5 linked regions of the Ovis aries genome follow. The protein of the gene in region 2 interacts with the protein of the main gene of each other region in a biochemical or structural test. Links are inferred from orthologs where the notes say so. Each region holds a gene or a part of one and is shown on either strand. Other genes may lie near its edges. The genes, in order: ERBB4, SYK, FLT3, ERBB3 and PTPN6.

What was found.
Region 1: the proteins of SYK (region 2) and ERBB4 form a complex in vitro, tested with the Homo sapiens proteins (2 studies listed by BioGRID and IntAct, with this or other methods). The link is inferred for Ovis aries from reciprocal best matches to the Homo sapiens genes SYK and ERBB4.
Region 3: of the proteins of SYK (region 2) and FLT3, one has a biochemical effect on the other in vitro, tested with the Homo sapiens proteins (2 studies listed by IntAct, with this or other methods). The link is inferred for Ovis aries from reciprocal best matches to the Homo sapiens genes SYK and FLT3.
Region 4: the proteins of SYK (region 2) and ERBB3 form a complex in vitro, tested with the Homo sapiens proteins (2 studies listed by BioGRID and IntAct, with this or other methods). The link is inferred for Ovis aries from reciprocal best matches to the Homo sapiens genes SYK and ERBB3.
Region 5: of the proteins of SYK (region 2) and PTPN6, one has a biochemical effect on the other in vitro, tested with the Homo sapiens proteins (2 studies listed by BioGRID). The link is inferred for Ovis aries from reciprocal best matches to the Homo sapiens genes SYK and PTPN6.

Annotation. Positions count from the first base shown.
Region 1 is NC_056055.1:214,424,429-214,428,694, forward strand, and holds the start of ERBB4 (receptor tyrosine-protein kinase erbB-4), read right to left. Parts: upstream 2,811-4,266; 5' UTR 2,059-2,810; coding exon 1,977-2,058; intron 1-1,976. UniProt on the Homo sapiens protein: Tyrosine-protein kinase that plays an essential role as cell surface receptor for neuregulins and EGF family members and regulates development of the heart, the central nervous system and the mammary gland, gene transcription, cell proliferation, differentiation, migration and apoptosis.
Region 2 is NC_056055.1:25,859,325-25,862,836, forward strand, and holds part of SYK (tyrosine-protein kinase SYK), read left to right. Parts: intron 1-1,279; 5' UTR 1,280-1,306; coding exon 1,307-1,708; intron 1,709-3,512. UniProt on the Homo sapiens protein: Non-receptor tyrosine kinase which mediates signal transduction downstream of a variety of transmembrane receptors including classical immunoreceptors like the B-cell receptor (BCR).
Region 3 is NC_056063.1:32,296,528-32,300,039, forward strand, and holds part of FLT3 (receptor-type tyrosine-protein kinase FLT3), read left to right. Parts: intron 1-2,185; coding exon 2,186-2,313; intron 2,314-2,975; coding exon 2,976-3,115; intron 3,116-3,212; coding exon 3,213-3,366; intron 3,367-3,512. UniProt on the Homo sapiens protein: Tyrosine-protein kinase that acts as a cell-surface receptor for the cytokine FLT3LG and regulates differentiation, proliferation and survival of hematopoietic progenitor cells and of dendritic cells.
Region 4 is NC_056056.1:163,452,881-163,456,955, reverse strand, and holds the start of ERBB3 (receptor tyrosine-protein kinase erbB-3), read left to right. Parts: upstream 1-1,266; 5' UTR 1,267-1,422; coding exon 1,423-1,504; intron 1,505-4,075. UniProt on the Homo sapiens protein: Tyrosine-protein kinase that plays an essential role as cell surface receptor for neuregulins.
Region 5 is NC_056056.1:209,357,957-209,362,062, reverse strand, and holds the start of PTPN6 (tyrosine-protein phosphatase non-receptor type 6), read left to right. Parts: upstream 1-1,297; 5' UTR 1,298-1,549; coding exon 1,550-1,563; intron 1,564-4,106. Other genes in the region: C3H12orf57 (protein C10), read left to right, coding at 634-785. UniProt on the Homo sapiens protein: Tyrosine phosphatase enzyme that plays important roles in controlling immune signaling pathways and fundamental physiological processes such as hematopoiesis.

The sequences.
Region 1 (4,266 bases), about 190 Mb from region 2:
CTAACTGGGCTCACTTGTGTGGGTCTGACAATTCACGGGGGGAAAGCGAGAAGAGACCAGCGAGGGTGCGAGTCGGTGTCGCCAGAGACGAGGAAGAGGACAGCTGCAGAACTAATTTGGATTACATTCCTTGCAGAAATTCTGAAAAGGGCTTTTCGGCATAGCTCAAGCCCGAGCCGCACAGTTAATACCCAATCGCTGCGGACTCGCAGCCGGGTCCCCCAGCGGCAGAGATTGCACCAGACAGCCCCCCAGTAGGTCGCCCGGTGGAAATTCCTCTCGGCTAAGCCTGCGTGTCAGTCGCAACTGCTTCTGAATGGTTCAATGTGCATAATCAACCCATTGAGGGGAAATATGAAGGGACGCGGAGTGGGGAGGGAGATAAAAAGGGATGTATCTAAGAGGCCGCTTGGAATCTCAAGTCGGTGTTGGTGTAATTCCGGAGGTGGCTGGAGCCCGGGACCTGGTATGCATGAAGAATTTCGGAGTAATTGGGAGGGTGCAAACGGCCAGAACAAACGGCGCACATTGTGCCATTCGAAGGTCATTTTGAAAGGCTCGAGGATTGTAACTTGTTATTTACTAGGCGAGGGGGGAGCGGGGGGAGGCGGCGGCGGCGGGGGCGGAGCGGGAAAACTCCAGCGCGCTGTTTTCTTGGTGAGGTCAGAAGGACACGCTCCGAGGGCCTGAAACTCTCCCTCTCGCCACTCCCCGGGGGCTTTATCTTCTCAAGGTGCCTCCCACGCCCTCGCGACCAGCCCCGTATGGTTCCGGACATCTCCCCGGCTCTCCAAAAGGCCCCCCTTGGCCACGTCAGTCCCCGGTTTTCCTGGCCCTTTCTTTCCTGTCCCACTTTCATCCTCAGGAAACTCAAGTGTCAGAAACTTTGAGCTCCCTGGGCCCGCAGGGGCTGTCATCCACCCTGCGGGCCCCGCCGCGCCTCCTCCCCGGGGGTCAGTTCGCCTCCTGCCCCGCGGGGTCCCGGGGCGCGAGCTCCCCGGGCAGCAGTGGTAGCGCACCCAGTGCCGCAGCACCCGCCTTGGGTTCTATCAATTCGCCTGACGGGTTGGCTCGGCAGCCGCGCCCGGCAGTAAACAGAAGTTGGAGGGACTCCGGCCAATAGCAAGTTGAACTACAGGAAGAACTCTTCCTGAAGCCAAACACAGAAACCGACGGGAAGGCCGGGCTCCCGGCTTAAGTCAGTCAGGCCATTAAAAAAAAAAAAAAAAAAAAAAGGTCAAGCAAGCCAGCCAGCCCCCCTTAGTCCGCGGGGCGAGGGCTGGGGACGCCAGCGGAGGCCTTGCGTTCCCGGGCCCCCCGGCCGAGGCGTGTCCTCCCGCCGTGCTCCAGCTCCCAGGCTGGGCTCGAGTCGGGTCTGACCCCGCAGGCTCGGACGGCCAGGGACGCAGCGGCCGCGGGCAGCGCACACAGGTGCAAAGCCGGCTCTCGGAGCTCCTCTCCCCACTGCCCTCCCGCTCCCCGGAGCCCAGCTGCCACGGCCCCGGGATCCCAATCCTGCCTCGGAGCCCCGGCAGGGCAACGCTTCTCCGAGGCTTCTTCCCTCGCGGGCGGGGGCGGGGGGTAGGCAGACGCTGCAAGGAGCGTCTCCTCTGACTCCGGCTTTGGGTCTCCCACGTCCCGCACAACAGGCGCTACCAGAAGGGATCCGGCTTAGAGAGGCTCGAAGAAAACGCGCGAGAAATAAACAAGGGGAGAGAGAAAGAAAAGGGACGGAGAAAGGGGCGCAGAGTGGTTTTTCACGAGAAACACATGCCCACGCAGAGGGTAAGTTTGGGATAGAAAGAGGGGCGAACGAAAAACACAAGGAAGAGGCGCGGGTGACGTGGTCCCTCCACGCCCGAGAGCGAGAGGGTCTCTGGTTGGGCTAAGGGCGCAGGGGGCGAGGAGCCACCCGGCGCCGCTCGGCCGGCAGCAGCAGGTTCAACCCTGGGAGCGCGAGAAGGACCGCGACCCACCTGACTGAGAAGAGCTGGGCTGGACGGTCCCCGCCGCCACGAGAAGGCTCACCCAGACCCACAGTCCTGTCGCCAGCTTCATTTTTTGGAAGTCTCAGATCCAGTGCTGACAATTACATGTCCAAATGGCATAATCCCCTTTCGGGCACGCGGAGGAGATCCCTCGGCCGGGCGCGCGTGGGGGCTCGAGGGGCACTGGCGCGCGCGGTGCACCAGCTCCGAGCGCGGGCGACCGAGTCCGCGTCCGCGGGTCTAGGGCCCGGACCCGGAGGACCGGGAGAGGGTGCGCGGGAGGGCGCGCGCGGGTGGGAGTGTACTGGAGGGTGTGCGGCGGCGCTCCGGGCCGGACCGGGCAGCTACGTCCCCGTGTGAGCCTCCGTTTTCTCGCTCCCTCCTCACTTTCTCGCTCTCTCTCCCTGGTTGGCCAACAATAAAAAGAAAGGGTTCGGAAGAGGGTTTCCAAAAAAAAAAAAAGTTGATTGCAAACAGGCGGTAGGTTTCCGGCCTCTCCCCCCAGCCCGACTCTGTTCGACTCCCTTTTCAGTTTCCTTGCACCTCCAGTCCAAATTGGGAGGAAAGGGGCGGGAGGGGGAAGCTTCTCGCTTCACCCCCAATCCTGTCCTTTTTTTTTTTTTTTTGCTGTCAGCTTTCTTCACACTTGTCCGGCGGCTGCGGTAATTAAAGCTCCGAGCGTCATTTCCAACGCTCCGCGGTCTCCAGCTGCAGCCCCACCGAGAAATTAATAAGACTCCGTCCGGGAGGAAAAAAAAAAAGGTTGGGGGCGAGCGGGCGGTGGGTAAAACAACCCTCCACGCAGCCAGGCTGGCTCTGCTCAGCCGCGCAAACCCCGCCCCCGCTCTGACCCAACTAGCCACGCCTTCCCCCCCAAAGGGAAATCTTATTGGTTCAGCCACTCCCCAAAATCGTGGGCCTCAGGAGTTGGGAAAACACCTGTCAGGGAGCTGGGAGCCTAGCGGTGGGGGCGGGGGGAGCTGAATTTAAAGGGCTCACCGGAGGCCACAAACTGAATCAGAGACCACCCCCCCCCACCCCCAGACACACGGCGGACAGCTGGCCCGGAAAGCGTGGAGACCACCTGAGAGATGCTTTACAAAAAAGATTTTTTTTTTAGCCAGAAAGTCACCATTTACTCCACACTCCACGGTGCTCATCCACAGACTGGACCTGCCCTAGAAACAGAAGAAAAGAATACGCTGCTTCAATTGTATTAGGCTACCTCGCTTCCTACTTCCTCGTGCTTCACATTCAGACAGTAGTTCAAAAGCTGGTTCAGTAATTGTTAACATCTGCGGAGTAGGTAGTCCTGGGAACCTAAGCACTCCTCTTTCTTCAGTCTGTATAACTAACTATACAACCTCTCCCATCATTCCCACGCTCGCAAATTGATCAAACTAGACTTTCACTTTTGTAGAGCTGCATCCTTAGATTTTTTAGACTTTATGGGGTCACTTCATCTTTTCCTTGGACTCTAGAACAACTTGGTTTTAGGTTCATTCTCATTAAGCCGATTCTAGTCCAAAGCCACCAATTTGGTTCTAAATGGCTAGAAATTGATGCAGGGCTGAGCTGATCAGTCTGAAATAACTTAAGGCAAATGATAGGATATAACCAACCTTAAATAATTAGGTTTATCCTACAGTGGGTCCTGCTTTAGTCCTCTTCCATGTTCATACGACCTCCAGAAGTCATTGCTAGCCATAGGAGTTTCTGAACTCTTCTTAGTCTGAAACATATGGGATTGGATTATATCAGTGCACATATCCCTTGCTTTTTACAACTCTGAAACTGTACCCAGGACAAAGGCCAGAACCTCCTGAGGGCAGGGGATTATTGGTTTGCTATTTGCACAGGCGTTCTATGAATGATTTTCCCTTTTCAGCTTCTCTAGAAGCAGCAACTACATAAAAGTATCAGGGGAGCTTAAAAATTAAGTCACCCTGCCTCCTCGCTCATCATTTGAGACCTTCCTATTCCTCCCCCACGTCTTTTATCTATAGTTGTGTCCCTTAAGAATTTGCGTGGAGTTGGAACAGAGTGAAACAGCAGCTTCTTCCCAGAGGCCTCAGCCTTCCCTTTCTTAGGTCCACAGCAAGTAAGAGGAACAGAGAGGAGGCCAAACAAGCTGAGCATGCAGCTTTATCCAGAAGTAGCACAGGGCCAGGAGAAACTAAGCCTTGAGCAGGTGATGGTGACTTGGCCAGTGGTACTGACTGCAGCAGAAGTGTTCACACTGCTCTTTGGGATTATCTTTGCTGTTTTTCTCACCGTC
Region 2 (3,512 bases):
TTCCATATATATGTGTTAGTATACTGTATTGGTGTTTTTCTTTCTGGCTTATTTCACTGTGTATAATAGGCTCCAGTTTCATCCACCTCATTAGAACTGATTCAAATGTATTCTTTTTAATAGCTGAGTAATACTCCACTGTGTATATGTACCACAGCTTTCTTATTCATTCATCTGCTGATGGACATCTAGGTTGCTTCCACGTCCTGGCTATTATAAACAGTGCTGCGATGAACATTGGGGGTACACGTGTCTCTTTCAATTCTGGTTTCCTTGGTGTGTATGCCCAGCAGTGGGATTGCTGGGTCATAAGGCAGTCCTATTTCCAGTTTTTTTAAGGAATCTCCACACTGTTCTCCATAGTGGCTGTACTAGTTTGCATTCCCACCAACAGTGTAAGAGGGTTCCCTTTTCTCCACATCCTCTCCAGCATTTATCACTTGTAGACTTTCAGATCGCAGCCATTCTGACTGGTGTGAAATGGTACCTCATTGTGGTCTTGATTTGCATTTCTCTGATAATGAGTGATGTTGAGCATCTTTTCATGCGTTTGTTAGCCATACATATGTCTTCTTTGGAGAAATGTCTATTTAGTTCTTTGGCCCATTTTTTGATTGGGTCATTTATTTTTCTGGAATTGAGCTGTAGGAGTTGCTTGTATATTTTTGAGATTAGTTGTTTGTTAGTTGCTTCATTTGCTATTATTTCCTCCCATTATGAAGGCTGTCTTTTCACCTTGCTTATAGTTTCCTTTGCTGTGCAGAAGCTTTTAAGTTTAATTAGGTCCCATTTGTTTATTTTTGCTTTTATTTCCAATATTCTGGGAGGTGGGTCATAGAGGATCCTGCTGTGATTTATGTCGGAGAGTGTTTTGCCTATGTTCTCCTCTAGGAGTTTTATAGTTTCTGGTCTTACGTTTAGATCTTTAATCCATTTTGAGTTTATTTTTGTGTGTGGTGTTAGAAAGTGATCTAGTTTCATTCTTTTACAAGTGGTTGACCAGTTTTCCCAGCACCACTTGTTAAAGAGATTGCCTTTACTCCATTGTATATTCTTGCCTCCTTTGTCAAAGATAAGGTGTCCATAGGTGCATGGATTGAAATCTAATGGTTATGTGGGCAGAAAGGAAAAGGGCAGATTAGCTCAGGCTCTAGACCTGAGTCCCAGAAGGAAGAGCATCCTGCTGACTGGAGGACTTTCCTCCAGAGCTGGAGGGTGGGTCCTCTAACAATGCCTTGCCATTCGGGTCTTGACCACTGCCTGGTCTTTGTTTTGCCAGGTGGACACCTGAAGGAAAGGCACAGGCATGGGTGACGGTGCCAACCACCTGCCCTTCTTCTTCGGCAACATCACTCGGGAGGAGGCGGAAGACTACCTGGTCCAGGGGGGCATGAGCGATGGGCTCTACCTGCTGCGCCAGAGCCGCAACTACCTGGGTGGCTTCGCCCTGTCAGTGGCACATGACAGAAAGGCACATCACTACACCATCGAGAGGGAGCTGAATGGCACCTATGCCATCACGGGTGGCCGGGCCCATGGCAGTCCAGCCGAGCTCTGCCACTACCACACCCAGGAGCTGGATGGCCTCATCTGCCTCCTCCAGAAGCCCTTCAACCGGCCACCGGGGGTGCAGCCCAAGACTGGCCCCTTTGAGGACTTGAAGGAGAACCTCATCCGAGAATATGTGAAACAGACATGGAACCTACAGGTGGGTGGTGGGCGGTCCTCTGGCAGGTGTGATGAAGGGTCTTATTGCTCACAGGGGCCCTGGAATTCCACACAGGCACCCAGTTGCATGAGAGCTATGCAGTGGTGCTTCAGATAAGCAACCTTCTCCTTAGTCATCAACATGGGCCCCCAAATGCCTCACTCCAAGAAGGCAGCCTTTCCTCTTTTGTGGTCATGCTTGAGAGGGTGGGCCCCTTTGTGCCAGCAATGTGGGTTTCTCCACCACAGGAAACCACTGTCACCCAATTCATGCAGGGCCCTTTCAAAGCAGGATCACTGGGCAGATACTTGTATTTATTTACTTAAGAGGATCATACTGAACACACTGATTGGCACTTGATTTTACCCCTTCCTAATGTCTCTTCCAGAATTTTCCATGTCAACAAGCACACAGCTGCATCAGCCCCTTACTGGCCCTCTGATAGTCCCTCCTGTGGACCATAATTCATTTTACTAGCACATATTGGTAGACACCTTCATTGTTTATAAACAATGCCCCCTACCATTCTCATAACCTTTTATCAATATCAGCAGGGTAACCCCAAACTGGTTGGATTGAACACAGTGAAGGATTTGGATGTGATGACAGGTTGTCATCCAGAAAGGTCCCAAAGGTTGTGACAACTTACATTCCCGCCACACTCTCCATAGCACTTGGTATCAGGAGGCACCAGGCTGGTTGACAGTCTTCTGGTTGGACTCACATGTTGAACCATTTCCTTGCACTTTGTGGATGTATGCTTTTTATATGTATGTGTGGATAACAGTAGAGGCTTTTGGAGGATTCCATCCACTCACTCCGTTACTCCTATAATATGCTCTGCACTGACTGCATTCAGTCTTGCAGACCAATATTATGGATTCTGTATTCTTCATTAGTATTTATTGGATATGATTTATACCAGGGGTCCTCCAGGATCTAATGCCTGATGATCTGAGGTGGAGCTATTGTAGCAATAATAGAAATAAAGCTCACCATAAATGTAATGTGCTTGAATCATCCAGAAACCATCCTCCACGAGGTCAGTGGAAAAATTATGCTCCACGAAACTGGTCCCTGGTGCCAAGACTTAGACCATCCTTTTACTCTTTTAATAGATTTACTGAGGTATAATTTACACACTATGAAAATTCATCCCTTTTGAGTGTACAGTTCTATCATTTTTTTTTTTAAACAAACAGGTGACATCACGTAGCCCCACCCCCAGCCCCAATCAAGATACACAATAAGTCCATCACCCATCAAGCACCCTCAGGTCACCCCCGCCCACTCCAGCCCCTGGCAACCCCTTACCTGATTTCTGTCCCCATAGTTTTGCCTTGTCTAGAATGTCATGTAAATGGACTCACGCAGCATGTAGCCTTCTCAGACTGGTTCCTTACACCCAGTATAACACATTTGTGAACCAGTTACGTGTCAGTGGTCCCTTCTTTATTGTGGCTGAGTAGTATTCCACACTCTGTTGCTTTTGCCCTTTGCTAACTCTGCACCGGTTGCCTCCTTGGTATGTAACTGTTACTGCTTTTGTTTTTCGTCCCATCTATGAAGCATGACAAAATGTTCAGGTTCACCTTCCCTTCTACCTCCCCTCCTCTCTTCCTGCTCCTCAGGGGTTGGTTATGTTTTTATTTTCACTTCTTCTGGTTCTTTTTATAACTTTGAATCAGTGACTTGTGTTCTTCATTTACCACTGTAATAGGTATCTATTTCTCTCCCACTAAGTGTGATTAGGAAGGTAATTCACTCAGCTGTCAGCCTCCTTCTCATTCTCGTTTTCCATGTT
Region 3 (3,512 bases), on a different chromosome or scaffold from region 2:
GTGCTTATACCTGTGTGGCCTTGAATGAGTTACTTAACCCCTTCCCACCTCATTAGAATCATGGGGCTGGTAGTGGTCTGTACCTTGTACGATCACTCTGATGAGGAAATGAATCGGTACACGTGAAACGCACAGAACAATGCCTGGTAGATACTAAGTACCTTATAAATGTGTTATACCTAAGTGTTCACAAAGTAAGGATTCATGCTGTTTGAACTAATTAAAATGTACTAAACAACTTTAATTGAAAAATGGGACCAAAGAGAAGGAGAAAAAAAAAAATCAGGTTGCCAAATGAGAAAACTGGGATCCCACATTTTGAAGGAAAAAGAGATTACCTATAGATATAAATGTGTGAACAGGGAAGAAAAAGATCAGAAAGCTACACACAGCAAAATAGTAACAGTTGGTCATCTCATGGTGGTAGGAATATGGGCAAATTAAAATTCTTTTCTTTGGGTTTCTCTGGATTTTCCAAAATTTCTATAATAAGCAATTATTGTCATCTTAAAGATTAATTATTATTGGGACTTCCCTGACAGTCCAGTGGTTTAGACTCTGATCTTCCAATGCAGGGTACTCAGGTTACATCCTGGTCAGGGGTCTAAGATTTCCCTTACCACTTGGCCAAAAACAAACAAAAATTATTATTATTGTAATTTAAAAAGAATTATTGTTGTCATTTTTAAAACTCAAGGAATAACGTGTAAACAATTTATGTGACTGAAGTGATAAAGAGGAGAAAAGTGACTATACACAGAAGCTGTATATAGTCTGTGTATAGTCACAGAAAGCTGTGACTATTCCAAAAGCTGTACCTGCTTTGGGAAAGGTGATAGTTAGGGAGGTGGGAGAGGGCAGGGAGAAGTCCCTCAAGTCCCCATGCGTGTGTGCTAAGTTGCTTCAGTCGTGACTCTTTGAGACCCCATGGACTGTAGCCCGACAGGCTCCTCTGTCCTTGGGGATTCTCCAGGCAAGGATACTGGAGTGGGTTCCCGTGCCCTCCAGGGGATTTTATCAAACCTGAGTCACCTGCGCTGCAGGCAGATTCTTTAGCATTGAGCCACCAGGGAAGCCCAAATCCCCAGGTGGGGCTGGCTCCTCTCAGGTGACACCACCCTCTCCTCTGTGAGCTGCGGGGACCCTGGGCACTTCTGCAACCCTGGCCTCTCTCCCTCTCACTGCTTGTCCTCTTCAGAGCTTCAAAGACCCTACACCTTGTTGCTGTATTAGAACCTAATTGTGCTTTTCCTTTTTTCCACTTTCTTCCCCACCCCTTTTCTGTCTTTTCTCAATTCTTCCATTCATTTTCTCTGTTTGACAACAACCAAGAGGTCACCAGACACAAAATCTTTTTTAAAATAAATTTTTATTGTAGTATAGTTGCGTTACCGTGTTGTATTAGTTTCTAGTGAGCAGCAAAATGAATCTGACCTACATGTACAAGTACCCCCTCACTTCTGGATTTCCTCGCCGTTCAGGTCACCTCAGAGCATTTAAGTCGAGCTCCCTGAGCTATACAATATGTTCTCGTTTGTTGTTGTTGAGTTGCTAAGTTGTGTTCAACTCTTTTGGGACCCCATGGACTGTAGCCCGCCCGGCTCCTCTGTCCATGGGATTTCCCGGGCAAGAATACTGGAGTGGGTTGCCATTCCCTTTTCCAGGGGATCTTCCCGAGCCAGGGACTGAACCCTTGTCTCCTGCATTTTCAGGCGGATTCTTTACCTCTGAGCCACCACCCTGGACTGTCAGGGAAGCCCGTGTTCTCATTAGTTATCTGTTTTATACATGCTCTTACCTGTTTTACACATGCTGTTTTCTATTTTATACATACTACCGACAGTGAGTGTATATATGTCAATCCCAGTTTTCCAGTTCCTCCCGCCCTTTTCCCCTTTAGTATCCATACTTTTCTCAAAACCTTTTGAACTCTTTTATTATGTGATTCCTTCCAGCGTTATTCTAATTAGGTGAAGGTGATGAATAACTAACTAGTTCCCTTAAGAATTCCGTGGGTGGTGCGGGCACCTTCAGTATGAATTGGTTTGCCTTGTGACCTGCTCCTATCTTTATTTTCTTATCAGGCTCTTAAACTCTACAACCTTTTATCTGGTTCTTCTCCTGAATACTCGCTTGTCATTTTAAAAGGTGTTTAAGTCAACTGACATTTCTTTTTTAATTGCAGCTGTAAAGGAGAGAGTCCAGCTGTCGTCACGAAGGAGGAGAGCGTCCTCCATGAGTTATTTGGAACAGATATCAGGTGCTGTGCAAGAAATGAGCTGGGCAGGGAATGTACCAAGCTCTTCACTATAGGTAAGACCGTCATATCGTGTCCATTTTCTGTGACTGTTCCTTGGAGACAGTCTGGGACTAATCATCACCCCTTAGGTCCTCACTCAATTTCAAAAATGCTATAGTTCCTTCAGGCCATTTTCAGTATAATATTATGGATTCTTTCTGTGCTCATTTCTTCATAAGAGACTACTTAATCTCTGAAAGATCCTTTTATTGTGGATAGTTTGTAATATTTAAGATGCCATTAAAATCTTTTTTAAAAATTTATTTATTTTATTTTTTGGCTGTGCTGGGTCTTTGTTGATGCACAGGCTTTTCTCTAGTTGCGGCAAATGGGGGGCTACTCTCTAGTTGGGGTGCACGGACCTCTCATTGTGGTAGCTTCTCTTGTTACGTAGCACGGGCTCCAGGGCGTGTGGGCTTCAGTAGTTGCTGCACATGGGCTTAGTAGTTGCGACTCCCAGGCTTTAGAGCAGAAGCTCAGCAGTTGTGACCCATGGACTTAGTTGCTCCATGGCACGTGGGATCTTCCTGTGTCTCAGGCAGATTCTTTACCACTGAGCCCTCAGGGAAGCCCTGAGATACCATTAAAGCCTTTATTCTGCAGAATGTTCAGGATATATTGTGTGGGGCAGGGGGGAATCACTTTTCTTCTTACCCGGGATTTTTTCATCTTCTAGATCTAAACCAGACTCCTCAGACCACACCGCCACAATTATTTCTTAAAGTAGGGGAACCTTTATGGATAAGGTGCAAAGCCATTCACGTAAACCATGGATTCGGGCTCAGCTGGGAATTAGAGAATAAAGCACTGGAAGAGGTGAGAGGATGAGCTTGTATTCTGAAATGCAGAAAAATGAACCAAGTATCCAGGTGGAAATCACTCCATTCAAACTCTGTTTTATATTAAAATCTAGGGCAGCTACTTTGAGATGAGTACCTATTCCACAAACAGAACTATGATACGGATTCTGTTTGCTTTTGTATCATCAGTGGGAAGAAATGACACTGGCTATTACACTTGTTCCTCTTCAGAGCATCCCAGTAAATCAGCTTTGGTCACCATCCTAGGTAATGCAGCTGCGCACATAATCTGTACTCGCGTTTTTATTTGTTTTAGTGTGGAGTGTAAGGGAGGTGCTGCAAATTCTGCTTTCAGTATAAGGTTAGTATCAAAAAGATGAGAGAGAAATTGAATTAGGATAGCTTTGTGAAAT
Region 4 (4,075 bases), on a different chromosome or scaffold from region 2:
ATTACTATCATGACTGTTAAGTAAGTGGTCAGGACAAGGTCAACACTCAGAGGGCAAAGGTAGCCTCCAATCACAGAACAGGCCCTCCAGGGTGCAAAGCAAGTTTAAAGAATTTTAGCCAGTACTCTTGGCTCAGAGTGAGAGGTGGAATTTTTCTTATTCAAAGCTCAACTGTTCTTGAAGTCTTCAGGCTTGAAACTCTGGGGAAAATAATTAGGCTTTCAGGGCAAGATCCGGAATGCCACACCGTGTGAGGCCTCACTGCCGCCGGCTGGGCACCAGGAAGTGCCCATCCTATCCATTTGGTGTCGGCCTGGGTTTGGGGGCATCCCCTCGTGGTGGTCAACAGCGCCTCTGGCTAGGATCCGGGAGCTGGTGCCCTGGGTTCATGCCTTTCGGGGACGCAGTCTCTAGGGCCCTCTCGGCGTCCCCCTCCTCCTCCTTTCCAGGAAGACCCCAGGCCCGGAAGGCCTGGGAAAGTGAACTTCTGTGGTGGGGAAGGCGGCCGCCCCGACGGCGCGGTCCGACTCCAGTGTGCAAGGGGAGGCAGCTGTTCTCCCAGGCGGCCGTGGGGGGCAGCAGAGGGGACAGCGACAGGTGCGGGAGCCCCTCCCGGGGTGGAAGTGAAAAGGCGGGCTTCGGGGTCTGTTCCCAGGCTGGAAGCCACCCCCGCCCCCCTACCAAATCCCCGGGAGAGGCCGGGCCGGCGCCGGGTCTGGAGGAGGAAGCGGCCGGAGACAGTGCAATTTCACGCGGCCTCTGGAGCTCGGGTTCCTCGGCAGGGCGGATGAGTTATGGGGTTTCGAGGGGGTTTCCGGGGAAACTGAGGTGGCCTGTTCAAGGCGACAAAAACACCCTCCCCCTCAAAAACACACACACACACAGGCAAACACATTGAGACAGAAACTCCCCCAAGTGACCCAACCGGCTAGGGGAGTTGAGTGATTTGGTTAGTGGGCGAGGCCAACTCGCAGGGGGTCGGGCTTTGGAGCGTTCTCTCCCCACCCCCATTACCTTTCTCCTCTGGAAGTATTTGGGGGCGTTCGGAATCTTGGACTCCGGGAGAATAATTAGGGCGAGAGCCGTTTAGGATCTGCGCGGCCAAGCTGCCGGCCACTGGGCGTGGGGCGCGCTAGCTCGGGGCGGGCCGCCGAAGCTCCGGCAATCGCTACTCCAGCCTCGCGCCCGAGGGGGCGCGGCCGAGACTCACCCCCTCCCCCTGCGCTCCGTCCTGCGCTCCCTCGCAGACTCCACTCCTCCCCTGCCATCCCGCCCCGGACTCCGGCTCCGGTTGCACTTCGCAGCCTCCTCTGCCGCCGCTACCGGGGTCGCTGGCGGCTCAGGTGGCTCCGCTTCGATGTCCTAGTCCAGGGCCCTTCCCGGCCGGCTTGGGCTGGGTTCCCCTCACCCTCCGCTGGAGTCATGAAGGTGAACCGGGCTCTGCAGGTGCTGGGTTTCCTCCTCAGCCTGGCCCGGGGCTCCGAGGTGGGCAATTCGCAGGCAGGTAAGCGGCGCGGGAGCACTGGCGGGCTCCGAACCCGGGATTCCGAGCCGGATTCGTGGGGTGCCGGAGGCCAGCGGCAGGAGCTTGGGCTGCGCGAGGCTGGGGTGTGAAGCCCCCGCCGGCTGGGACCCCCTGGGCCCGGGACCGTCAGGATGGGGTTCTCGGCGTGGTCCGGGCGGGGACGCGATTCAGGGACCTGCTCCCCGGCCACCGCCTCCTGGGCGCCTCGCAGACCCTCAGATTTGTCTCTCCGGCGGATGCTTAAACCATTCACACTTCTGAGGACCCTACAGGGACGGGAACTAGGACCTCCATTCTGTAAACGTGAGGGGGTGATTGGAGGTGGAGAACACGGAGGAAGCGGGGCACGGAGGTGGGCATCTCGGTTTACTCCAGACCTCTTTGGCCCCTGGGGCTCAGCAAGCTCCAGTTTCGTTGTTCTGCCGACAGGGCGGAGCTGTGGAAGGGGGAGAGGTTGTTGTTCTCTAGTGTTGGAAAACAGAGTGACACCTCCTCTTCCGTGAGTGGGCCTGCCCTGGGGAGAGTGGAGATTAACCTGGGGGCTAAGTCCAGGGGACAGCAGGGAGAGCGGCCACGCAGAGGCTGACTGCCCTCGTTCTCTCAAAATAATAAAGTTGGCTGGTCTCCAACTTGACCAAACTTTTTTTAAGCCCCAGATCAATTTAACCAATATTTACTGAGCATCTACTATGTACAGAGCCCTGGACCACCAGCTATAGGGTCAAGGATTTCCAGCCGCTATATTTCAGCCTTTTCTCTCCCCAACTTGAGGGCTGACAGGGCACCTGTCCTGTCTTCTGAGCCCCCTATCATGGGGAGGGTCCTTCTCAGAGCCAGCTTCATCCCTACTCCCATTCTGTTTATTGTCTGGCGGTCTCCAGCCGTCTAGACAAGAGTCAGATCACCCCTCTGTTCCTCCTCCCACTCCCATGCCAGCTAAGCCCCCCTCTTTGGGGTGTCTCTGGGGTGGTGGACAACTGAGGGGTGCTGGGGATGCTGGCATTGGAGGAGTTCTGTTGATTTCCTCCCCTCCCCCCCAGATCTCAGCTTGGGGTTTGGCACTGTCAGGGCCCCTTCCCCAGGGTGGGAGTGGGAGAAACACCTGTGCTTCCCTCACAGTTGCTGGGCCTAAATTTAGACCCTGGGATCTTGGGATGTGAACACTCCCAGCTGGTAGAGGGCGGGGGTCTGGGCATTGGAGTGGGAGAGATGGAGTAAAGTGACTGTCTCACTGTTCCGCTCAGGCCCCTGGAATCTTCAGCTGGGAACCCAGGAGTCCTGGATCCTGGCCGCCTTCCCTGAGGGAGACAGGAGGCAGGCATGGTTGGGTCTCTTTACCCTTTATCTGGCTCCTGCAGCCTCTGGGCATCCGGCCCCGTCTCAGTCCTTCTATAGCCCCTTTGTCCTGGCGGTGATGGGGGCGGGGGACTTGGGGGAGAAGGCCTCTGGCTGAGGAGGGGCTGGAGATTCTTGTTGCGACCCACCCCAGTGCTCTCTACCAAAGGGGAGCCCCGTGACACTGGCCCTCCCGGTGCCCCTGGTCGCTGGGTATAGCAAGGACTTTTGAATTCCCCTCCCCCTCCACTCCTCCCCTAGATGCCTGGTTCCTCCTCAGAGGTGTTGTTCATCGTTTCCCGCCCAGCCCTTTGCTCTTGTTTGTGTAATATGGACTTTACCCTCAGGGTGGCAGGGAACTGGGACCTCTAACACTGTAGTCTCCCCAGCTCGACACAAAGTCTGCACAAACACATGCGGGCAGGTGGGAAGGATGGGGCCACCTGCAATACTCCCTAACAAGGAAACCCAAGGACGGACCGGGCTAGTAGGGGAGCTGTGTACGTGTTTGTCTGCGTGCGAATGTGTGTGCGTGTGTACACACACACACACCCTGCTTCCTTGTGCAGAAATCTTGGCTCCTCCTTTATCTGGGGAGAAAGGTTGGCGCCTTGACTTGGAAGAGGGGGTGTCCTGGCAAGAAGGGAGTTGGGGTGGGGCTGTTGCAGAAACGACCAGCCTCCTAGTGGTTTTCTTTTCAACCCAAGGACCCTAGGGTTCCCAGGCACCTCTGGGAGCTCGTGTCTGTTTACTCCTCTGCTGGGTCTAGCTCACACTTTTCCCTTCATGGGGAGTGATAGGGAATGGGAACCCCTCAAAGGTCGAGTGGTCAGACTAGGGGTGCATCCAGGAGGAGGGGTTGGGGCCTCACCCACCTCCCTTCCTCCATTCCCACTCCTGCCTCCCACTAGGCTGCCACCGCCTCAGGGAAGGGTGGCTGGAACAGGTGGTATCTACCCGTTCCCTTGCAGCCTTTCACCGAGCCAGAGGAGAGACAGGGTAGGGCTTCAGGGTCCAAGATTGACTATAAGCCCCCATGTCCTCCTCCACACTTACAAAGTAAAGTGAACCTCCAAGACTGACAGTGAGTGAGGATTGAGTGAGTGAGTGAGCGATGTTTGGAAGACTTCTTAATGGATCTCCTCTGACAATAAAATTGGGTAGAAGGCTGAGACTGGAGGCAGTCGACTGCTGTTTCCATCCAACTTCTCTGTA
Region 5 (4,106 bases), on a different chromosome or scaffold from region 2:
GGTTCTTAAGTGCATGTTGTCGTTACCATTAATTATACTGTTATTCCGTTTTAAGATGAGAAATCAGACTCTGCTAGTAAACCAGTGATGGAGGCCACAGGAGAACGTCCCATGAGTCCCATTTTGATGGCTTTTAGTGAAATGTCTATGTGACCACACACTTCTGCAGCGCCCCCCCCCCCCAAAAAAAAGTGCTTCAGCTAATCTGAGGGCTGGCTAATCTGAGGGTTCAGTTTCTTGGGTGAGATCACCGAGTTCTCCAAGAGTGTTTATTGATCCCACCCAGCTGGCCCATGATCCTCCTGTGTCCTGGTTATAGACTGGCGATCTTGTTCTGTTGGGTACGCATCCTTTGGGCTCTTGTGACTAAACTGCTAAAATGGTTAATCTGATCCTGGGAAGCACACTGCTTTGGGATGTTTTCATTCACTGCATCCCATCCGGTTGTGCCTGGTGTAGACCAGGAAATAATTTATCCGGACCACGCAGGGCATTGCCTGGGTCTTGTTTTGAAGACAGCTACCTGACCAGAGGGGAAGCAGCCATCCACTCCAGCTCAGGCTGCTCCCTCCTGCCATCTTGGGCACATCCGTCCCCTGTGGATGTGGACTGAAGTTTCGTTCCCCTTTGCAGGTGTTCTTAAGTTTGCCCGCCTTGTTAAGTCTTACGAAGCCCAGGATCCTGAGATTGCCAGCCTGTCGGGGAAGCTGAAGGCTCTGTTCCTGCCGCCCATGACCCTGCCGCCCCACGGGCCTGCTTCAGGTGGCAGCGTGGCCGCCTCCTGAGGACTGGCCCTCCCGTTAACACTGCTGGGGAAGGGAAGACCTAATTGTACTGCAGGATAATAAATGTGCCTGTGACTTAGTGTTGATGTCTGTTTTTTGTGACCCTGACAACCTCTACGTCCTGCCTGATTCCCTCTTGCCTTTCAGGCTGTCCCATTTCCCTTTCCAGATCTTTCCTGTGTTCCTTCAGGGCTGGACCAGCTCCAGGGCAGAGTGCAGAGTGGGAGGATGGGCCGGCCCCTCAACCCCCCTGGGTGGGGTGGCCTGCACAGCCTTCACCCTCTTTGAGCAGTGGGGCTTTCTGGACTTTTCCTGAGGCTCCTGGGCTTCTGTGCCCCTGGAGACTTCCCCATTGGCTGGTGCTCCCTTGGCCAGGGTGACTTCCTGGGCTTTGCCCGCAGCACCCAGCTTCCTGCGGCTCGGTTGGCTGGCGGGCCAGGTGGAGTTCCAGGTGGCTCCTCCCTTCCCCAGGGAAGGAGGCGGGGAACAGGCAGGCGTGCTGGGCTGGCGCTAGACTGCCGAGTAGGGCTGGAGGGAGAAGCCAGCTGCTGAGGCCAGCTCCGCCCCACCTGTCCCTTTTCCGGGGTTATTTAGTCCAGGGGCTTGTCCCCACGGTGCCTGTGGCCTGGCAGGCAGCATCAAGAGGAAAGTGGCTGGTTTCTGAGCATTCTTCCTCACCTGGCTTGGGCCCCTGCACAGCTGCGCCACGGGCTCGACCCCGCCCCCTGTGCCTTCTGCCTGGGACTCCCCACCCCTCTGGGGAAATGCTGTCCCATGGGTAAGTCCCTTGCTCCATCTGGGTAACCGGGGCTCTTGTTCATTGGGGAGGGAGGGGCGGGGATCCTGCTCACTCCTGACAGGTGCATGACCATGAGTGTGACCTGCCCCTGTCCCCTCCCCAGGTCACTTTCCCCACAAGATGCCAGAACTCCAGCCTTGTTCATGACCCTCTGACCCACCCCCTTCTCTGGTACTTTCTCCCTGACGGATGCATATTTATTCTCACCAAATTTCTTTCTCCGCCCTCTGGTCCCCTGCTTCTGTCTTCTGCTAAGGACACGTCCCCTAGGGAGCTGAATGACACCTGAAACATTACACATCTGAAAGGCAGACCTGAGAAAGATGCCCTGTTCTCACTAAATGTCCCAAATCCTTCATTCCAATCTCCCTCAGTTTTCCTTCACTCCTCTGCATCAATTCATTCAGATACTGTTAAGTATCTATTGTATGCTGGTGCTTTTTAGTTTTTAAATTTTTTTAAGATTTTTTTTTTAATGTGGGTCATTTTTAAAGTCTTTATTGAATTTGTTACAATATTGCTTCTGTTTTATGTTTTGCTTTTTTGGCCCCAAGTCATGTGGGAGGGATCTTAGCTCCCCAGTCATGGATGAACCTACACCCCGGGTATTGGAAGGTGAGGTCCTAACCAATGGACTGCCAGGGAAGTTCTGTCAGGTGCTTTTTAAGGTGCTGCCAGTACTGTAACAAACAAGAGACACAGTTCCTGCCTTCACGGAGCTTCATGCGGGTGGAAGGGGACAGACTGCCCAAGGAACCCATTAAATAGGATAATTGCCGGGTCTCGGAAGTGTTACCCAGAAAATAAACCAGCTTCACATGCTAATAAGGGACTGGGGTGCCAGTGGCATCACTGGCTGGAGGGGCCAGGGAGGGCCTTCCTGAGTCGGTGACGAAGGAGCTGAGACCTGGATGAGGAGGAAGAATCAGGCTCCAGTGCTGCTGGCAGAGGGAATGGCCAGTACAAAGACCCTACTGTGGGAATAAACTGAATGATGGTGCCTGGGGGCAGAGTTGGCCAGTGAGGACAGAGGAGGGCTGGGTCACGTGGGGCCTTCTTGGTGTTTGGATACTACAGTGAGGACCTGCTGGGCGTCTTGGTGAGTTGGTAGGTTGGTTGCCCCAAGTCCAGTAAGTTCTTGCTTGTTATATTCACATCTGCTCTTGGGGTGTGCCTGCCTCCCTCAGTGCACCCCTTGTCTCCTTCAGCCCCAATGTCAAGATTCTTTAAAAAAATATTAAAAATTTATTTTATTAATTATGTATTTTAAAAATATTTATTGATAGATTTACTTATAACTAAATTACTTATTAATAGATTTATGTGTAAACAAATGACTTATTGGTAGATTTATTTATAAATAATTTGTTTATTGATAGATGTATTTATATATAAATACATTTATTTATTAGTTGTGGCATGTGGGATCTAGTTCCCTGATGAGAGGTTGAACCCGAGCCCCCTGCACTGGGAGCGAGGAGTCTTAACCACTGGACTGCCAAGGAGATCCCTGCTGTCAAGGTTCTTATTGGGTCTTCTGGTCCCCGATCTCTTCCATGCTCCTGCCTCTGTCATTTTCCTGCCAGATGGTTGGCAAGTCCTTTCCTGAGAAAGAATCCTTCCTTGGTTCCTCAGGCTGGCCCTGTGAGACCCTTTGCCAAGGGTCCCGGCCTCTCAGAACAGCTCAGCTCAGCCATAGGGCCCAGCTCCCAGCCAGCACTATGCTCGTGGGTCCCGTGCCAGCTCCCCAGGGGCCTCTGCCCACGCCCTGCCTCCTCCTCCCGCAGCGGGTGGTGCAGTGGGAAGGACAGTGGCCTCGTTAGACGTCAGACAGCCTTGGTTTGTTGTCTTTCCCCTTCCTAGTTTGTGACCTTGGTCAAGTTACTTCTCTGAGCCTTAGTTTTTGTTTCTAAAGTAGGGCTAACATGGACTTCCCTGGTTGTCCAGTGGTTAAGAATCCACCTGCCAAGGCAGGGGACATGGGTTTGATCCCTGGTCTGGGTAGATTCCACACGTTGAAGGGCAACTAAGCCCTTGGGCTACAACTACTGAGCCTTTGAGCCCCTCTTCGCTCTGCAAAAACAGAAGCCACAGCACTGAGAAGCCCATGCACCTCAACTAGAGAAAGACCACAAGCAGCAGGGAAGACCCAGCACAGCCAAAAATAAATAAATAAAATTGGCTAACAGGACCTACTAAATAGGGTTGGCATATACATTAATAACATCACACAAAAGCTGTGTGTTTTCATACTAAAAACCTACTTCATATCGGCTTTTTATATCAGCATTTGGGAAATATTGTTAAACCCATTTATCAGGTAGGGATACTGAGGCCCAGGGAACTTCAAGAGCTTTCTAGAGATTACTTTGTTTGCTCTTCCAGACTGCCTGTCTTTCTGCATACCTGTTGATCTTCATCTCTGCCTTTATCTCCTTGCTTCCCAAGTGAGTAATTTTCTCTTCTCAATTAGTAGGCCCTTACTTTTTTAACTCTCAGCTTCCTTGAGCCTGTTTACCTCC